Schizosaccharomyces pombe: one gene and its partner. Changing the gene in region 2 together with the main gene of any one other region gives a genetic interaction. Each region holds a gene or a part of one and is shown on either strand. Other genes may lie near its edges.

Region 1 (3,511 bases), 4.2 Mb from region 2:
CAAGATTCATGATCTATTCGTCTGGTTTCTCATTATCAAATGGTGTTGCGGGATCTTCATACATATTTTCCCAAACTATTTTTTACTTCAGAGATATATTTCTTCATTGTTCTTAATGATATATAAAAAATGGTGAAATATTTATTTATTGCCCCATCATGTTTATTTTTATATCCTTCTTTCTCTGTCAGGAAATCTATTTCCGAGCTGACGATAAAAAAACATGTTGCAAGTCGCCGAAACTACCTCGGCTTTTATTACTATGTCCGAAAAGTGCGCGAAATATTGGAATGGCTTGTAAATTATGCATTTAATCAAATAAAGTGATAGTAAGCGCAAAGTGTATGACTCAATGAAAATCGGGTGTATCAACTACTCAGTTGTTTACCATACAATGTATTGTAAATTATGGGTAGTGTCGTCGCTATTACATTTAAAAAATATATTATATTGAAGGTATCTAATAAGAAGTAAATGTTTTTCTGTGTAATAATAGTGAATTCTTCTCATCAAAAATATAAACGAACTGATTTTTCGTCACCTTATTAGGTTATACAAAGTCATAACAATGCAAAACCAAAGCGGATAGCATATCAAACTAAGAATATGACTTGCTATTAAAAATTAGTTTCGCTTGAGTTTTATTTTAAGAGTAGTAATAGTCAGAATTTATTGTGCTGATACACTTCAACTTACTTGATTAATAATTGAAAAAGAGAAATTTACAATTGAAATTGAAATGGATGGATTTGAAACAAACCATTCGTCAACATCACCGCTACTTTAAAAATGCTACTGTACTTGCGAGTATAACTACACAAAAGTACATATTTAAGCGGTTGCATCAAGTAATGTCATATATAGAAATACAATAATATAAACGGAGCACAAACTGAACCTCGTTCTTGATATATCAAGTCTTCTTTATTGTACCATAATGTTGTATGTCGTTGTGCTATATTTTTTTGTAAGTTACAATCATACTGATTGGCATAGCTTCTGCTTTTAACTTAACGGTGATCAAGCCATATTTGATCAGGTTAGGCAGAATTCCAATGATTGCATTAGAAGGTTTAGATCTTCAAGTCAATTTTACGATTACAAGCAAAGGAGAAATAGCAATCAAGCCAGTATCGAATACTCATTACACGTATATAGCAAGATACTATGGAATTGTTATTGTGATATGAATCTTGATGGTGGATTATTATAGCCCTGGTGCAGATCACTAATATCGGTTTTCGAGTAAGAATGATTCTTGCTTTCTGACCTAGTGACTTTCTCAATAGAGAAAAGTATAATGACTTGAAATTTAGAAAACGTTCTAATGGAGTTAATGGAGTGAGTTCTAATGAAACGAGGAAAAAATTTGTTATGATATACTACGACGCATCCAAATGTAAAGGATCGGAATTTAGATGAAGCCGATGGTACTTCCGAGTAAATGTACCAACAATATAATAAATAAATCAGCAATTTTACTGCTAGACAATATTTCACTGTGAGGCTTAGTCTTGGTATAAATAGAGGGACTCTGTCAAAACAAATATTTTGAACTAGACTCGAATTCTTCATAATTCTATTCACTTGAGTGTTTATTTTTTTTAACAATGCCATTACATTTACGAGATATGTGGATATCCACTGACGATTATAAGGATGTTTTACTTACGTGTCCTGTGTGGTATGAAATTAGTGAAAGAGAATTAAATCATGCTGTTTGGGGACAATATTAAAATGGTGAAGTTATAATGAAACAGTTGTTGGAAGCGATTAGTTTCAAAAATTAGCGACTCGTATTTTGTTTATTATTATTATTATTTTTTCTTTTTTTTTTATTCGCTGTTTTAAAATTGTTTCCAGCAATCTTCTTCCTGTTCTCTTTTTATCCGTTTGACAACACATTTTGCTAATGCTTTTTTTTTTTTTTTAGTTCAAAGAAGACTGGTACGAGAAATAAACAAGTTGAGTAGTTTCGAAAGCAATTGGCTCTTTCTTTTTTTTTTTAAACTTGTCTTATTAATGTTAACATAACATTTTGTTTTTAGTCCGAGTATGTCGTCAGTTGAAAACCGTAACGGTTCTCATTGTGCCTGTTCTTCCGGTTTATACGAATAAGGTAAGAACATTCAAGAAAGCGTTTGATATGAAGTCTGTTCCATTATTGCTCTTAGTGCCTGACAAACGTTGTTAGTCTGTTTTGAGTTTACAAGTTTGTTAAGCTAATAGCCATTCATTGATCTTCATTGTTACATGCTTTCCATGGAATAGTTGGAGGTGTTTACTTTTCAACTTGTTAGCGATCGCTTGCTAACATTTTTAATAATAGGTACTTTGTTGTTCTCAGTGTGACTGGCACGAACCAGCAAATGTTTACTCGATTGAACAAAGGCGTAGTCATGATGATGATCTTCCTACCATTAAGGGTTCTGATGCTAGTACTCAACAGTATGAAAGAAAAACTTATATTACCGATGCTAGTCCCGAATCTCAGAATCTGTTTTTAAGCAAAAGTAAAGAGGAGGGAGTTATCTTCTTATGCATACAAGTAAGCTTTTAACCTTGATTCTATTTATTCACTTTTACCATTTACTACTTTCGCAAATTCCTGTTTTTTGTTGGGGATATGAAGGGGAATATAAGGGTAAAGTAGATGAAATGGATGTATTTGAAAGTTGATTTGGATTCGATTTATTACTTTGAATCCCCGTTTATTATTATACGTTTATGTCGTTTTAAAGAAAACCATGCGATGTACTATATTAATTTTGTAAAATATATATTATAGATAAAAAAATTGTTGGGAAAATGGGAAAGCAAGTTGAAAATAATTAAATTCAATAAATTAGCAAAATATGTTTATGAAGGTAACCAGTTTTTTCTTTTTATTTTTTTTTTGTCTATATGTCAGATTCGCAACTTTTAAGTTTGAACAAAACATTATTTCACATCGACTCAAAGGTTATGTGTATTTAAAACGTTCCAGTAAAAAAATATTCATTTGTAAAAAATAAATAGGTGGTATATTAAATAAGAATGAACTTACTACACAATTTCTGTGTAAAAAAGTGAGATTAAAATAACTGGATATTAATCCATTGATAAACAAATAATAAATAAAATAATCCCGGTAACCCCTTTAAAGGTGAATCAAGTAAACCATGGTTTTTGTCAAATCATTTTCTCTTGAGCCTCTTCAGCTACATTTCGATTGTAGGCAAGTGCTTCATTATGGGTGGGAAACATTATGTAACATGGAAAAGCAATTTTCTCCATAAAAGTGAAAAGATCACCAATGATCACCGACAGTCTGTAATCAAAGTTTCCAAATATAATATTCGACAGGTAATGCAACATTGGAGATGCACAGAATATAAAGATAAATGCATTTAGCATTCTTCTAAAAAATCTGGCTTTTGAAGCATTTTCGTAAGTTGTTACAGACGTGCATTGTTTCAATAAATGACAAATAGAATACACCCAAATTGCAGGAGATACCTCATACTGGATC
Region 2 (3,939 bases):
TAGGTCGATCTGGGGCACCATGTATGGGAGCATCTTTGAGCTTTTCAGTTACATCGCTTAGTGAAACATTTAAGTATATCTCCATAAACTGTCCAATTTCAATGTTCTCCATATTTCCTCGAAGATGTTCAGTGACCTCTCCTACTCCATAAACGTTTACATCGACAGCAGTATGGCCGTGAGTGGTCCAGCCAATTTGTGCTTCTACACTAACAATATCACTAAGCACGTTTATAAGATTAAATATATTATGCCGGGCCACGTATATGTCATGAATCTGCTTTGGATTAGGGTCAGGAATGCCAATTGCGGGTAAAACAAACTGTTCAATATAAGGAAGCAACGTATTTTGGTTATGGTTCACGATAGCTGAAGCGAGATATTCAATAGAATGGAGAGCAAGAGATAGGACTTGCGGCTTCCATAAATACTCTGGATATTTTTTGGAGACCTGGCGACCAACAGTCAAACCACCAGTTTCATGATCCGATGTAGAGATTAAAGATCCTCCATTCTTTTCTACAAATGCACTTGCTATTTCAAAGGCCCTGTTGTATTCCATAACTTCGTAAACATGAGCGATAGGGTCATTGTTGTGAGAGGCCATGTCAATTCTACTCCCTTCTATGAGCAAAAAAAATCCTTTAGATGTATCTTCATTAGTGGCGTTGAGCAAAACATCCAAAGCCGTCTCTACCATTTCAGAAAGCTTAGGTTGCACTTCAGGCTGATAATCAATATCATAACTGAGATGATAATCAGAAAACAAACCAAGCAAAGGCAATTGAGCGTTTGATAGCTCATCAAAGTCAGTTCTATTAAGCAAAATTTGGAAACCTTCTTTTTTCCTAGCATATTTCAAAAGATCCAAGTTATCGGATCTACATGATCGATAAGTAGATTTAGGTAAGAATGAACAAAGTCCACCACCGAACAATAAGTCAACACTCCTTCCCAAAGGTCCCATCCCGACTTGGTACTCAGCAATTAAATCTTGCATGAATCGATTCGCGGCATGAGCAGAGAAAGAGGCAGGTGTAGCGTCGGTAACTCTGCTTGTGACAACAATTCCGGTTAAGTAACCGGCTTCTTTAGCAGCCTCTAAGATAGTTCCACAAGGTTTTTCATTATCCAAAACACCAACAGCTCCGTTGTAGGTTTTATTAGCACAAGAAAATGCGGTTGCTCCGGCTGCACTATCCGTAATCAAACTCGAACTGGAACGTGTCCGTGAACTGCCAATTAAATGCTCATCCAAGGGAAGCCTATAACCCTCTTTATCGTTTAGAGTCTCTACAAACGATCTAGTCATAGACAAAGAGCCAGGTCCCATTCCTTTAAAAAAAGTCAGTCACCGAGAAATATTGTAAAAAAAAGGAAGATTCCGTCCCAGTGCTCTAAATATAAAAAAAATCATTTTCCTTCAAAAGAGCAACGGATTTATGAGAGAGCTTACTCCAATCACTTACCGTCAGAAACCATCATAATAACAAATTTTGGTTTCTCATTGGTCCCTTTGGACTTATGAGACGAGAAAAAATAAAAAAATATAACGGTTGATAAAACAAGGATTAACAGAATTCCATGTTTTATCCAAGTTTTCCAATTTCTACGAGAAGGGCTCTCCGGACCCTCGCCATGCACTGGCAGAAGAGGATCGCGCTCAGATGCCATTGAAAACTATTTAAACGGTAAAAATTGAATATCTCTAAAAGAAGGGATGTCAAAGGGTAAAGATCGTTTCAACGCGTATGACTTGTTGATGGATAGTACAAATTTTTGGTGTTGAAACAGCTCAACCATACATTGCATGACGTCATGGTTTAAAGTATTAACTCTCCATGTCGATCCTCGCTATCTTAAATCTGATATCGGATAGTATATGCACAAGTTAATCGAGAATGGCAATTCACCAAGTCCACAAGAAATAGCGTGATGGTAAAACTGTCTATATATACATGTAATATCTACTGTCAAATGCAAGTAGCTGTTGAAAATATTAGAATCAGCTGCTGACATGAAAATCCCGTATATCCAAAATTCGATGCAATTACCTTTCGACTATTATTGAGATCTTGTCATTAACGAAAAAAAATATATATAAGCAAATGAGTTGTGAACAGAAAATAAACAAACAAGTAAAGGACTGAACTGTTACTTGAAAATAAAGTACAGTGTTTAAAGTAGAAGACACATTGATGACTTATGATGGCAGTGAATTTTGAGGGTAATAATAATAAGAAGACAGCATTTTAAATCAGTGCGATATTAAAGGATCAATTGTTTTATTTACTTCATTGTTCATATGAACTTAAACATTATTTATATTTTTATTGTACAAAGAACGTGAAATGGAACTTTTGGAATAAAGAGTAGCTAATCAGGAATTAACATTTGGGAATTCCTAACCATCCAGGTATCGAAACCAATCCTTAAGCTAAAGATTAAACATACAAATAGCATTATTTTTTTGAACGACGGTAACTTCATAAAAACCCAAACAACCAAGTCTTCAAAAAATAATTTAACTGGATCATATAGCTGTGGAACAAATTTTTTCAAAAACCAGAAAATTAAAAAAATGTGGGTGCAAACACTGAGAACAGTGCTTGCAGTCTCCCATCACATACCACTTAGCAGTCCATTGGCATATGCCATTGGGCGAATGTTAGGATGGGGAACGGCTTCAAATTGGTGGAAATCCAACTCCATGTCTTCCTTAACTTTAATTACGGCACCAAGATTTCCGGTACTATCACAATAATTAGGAGCACTAAACACAGTAATACAATAACCATCGTGCTCAACTTCGTAGCCTTGATCTCTGACTTCATGAGAACGGATCACTGCTTTAAGACCATTAGCCTCGCAAAAACGTTTTGAAACATCAGGGCCGAATTGTAAACCCACCCCACGTTTCGATGGTCCTCGTCCTGGAGCAGGTTGTGGATCGGTCCAAAGCATTTCCATCATTAACCCAGATTGTCCAGGTTGCTTTTTACTAAATCTATCAATGTTTCGTAGTTGGTCTAATGTTACGTTATCATCAGAAAATAGGCCACCATGTACAACAAGATAAGAATCGGAAATTAGGGAACCAAGAGGTAGCAGAGAAAAAGTTTCCGAGAAAATATTAAATGTCCTCTCATTATACTTACTACGACATTCACCTTCGAATCCGTAGACTTTGTTCATATCGTCAGTTTCGTGATTACCGCGATTGATGAAAACAGCGTCCGGATATAATAACTTATATGCATAAAGAGTAAAAGCGACTTCAGTGGACCACGAACCACGATCGACAAAGTCACCATTGAATAAATATTTGTTAGTAGGGCTTGGAGGACCATGAAGTTTGAAAATGTTTAACAAGTCAAAATACTGGCCATGGGTGTCACCGCAGATAACCAATGTCTCATCCCCTTTAACAGGAATGTCAATTAAAGAAGGAGTTTTTTCAAGTAATTCTTTTAAGTCTCGCAATATGCTATATGCAAATTTTAGGGGGAGTTTTTTACCTTGGCAAAAGCGTTCCTTCATGTCTTCAACAAACTCTTTCGTTATTTGCTTTTCTAATATTACACCATCATAGTCAGAAGGAATGTCCATGTCTTCAATGTTGATATTCGCAAGTGGTGAAGGAGGTTCAGTATTATGAATAGCCTCCTGAAAACGAATCCTTTTGACCAATTGCTCACATTCACGAAGCTTTTTACGAGCAGCTGGATCACTGGGTGCTAGTGCCAATGCCTTTCGGAAGTCACCGACAGCCTCTTTGGGTTGAAAAATAGCAATATGAGCAGTAGCTCGACGAAAATATGCCTTTGCATATTCGGGGTCGCATTCAATAGCTTTGGAAGCATCATTGATTGCCAGACCATAATCCTCTGACTTTAAATGTGCAAGAGATCTATTGGAGTAAAGAATTGCGTTTGTAGA

What was found.
Region 1: mutations in pho8 (region 2) and ftm6 together harm fitness more than expected from each alone (negative genetic interaction), as found in Schizosaccharomyces pombe (one large-scale study listed by BioGRID).

What each region holds. Positions count from the first base shown.
Region 1 is NC_003423.3:8,675-12,185, reverse strand, and holds ftm6 (transmembrane helix domain-containing protein), read right to left. Parts: upstream 1,618-3,511; coding exon 1,177-1,617; 3' UTR 835-1,176; downstream 1-834. Other genes in the region: SPOM_SPBC1348.04 (methyltransferase), read right to left, coding at 1-10; ftm5 (transmembrane helix domain-containing protein), read right to left, coding at 3,172-3,511.
Region 2 is NC_003423.3:4,182,851-4,186,789, forward strand, and holds the start of pho8 (alkaline phosphatase), read right to left. Parts: upstream 1,769-3,939; 5' UTR 1,675-1,768; coding exon 1,470-1,674; exon of another isoform or gene 1,336-1,469; coding exon 1-1,335. Other genes in the region: SPOM_SPBC3F6.01C (serine/threonine protein phosphatase), read right to left, coding at 2,623-3,939.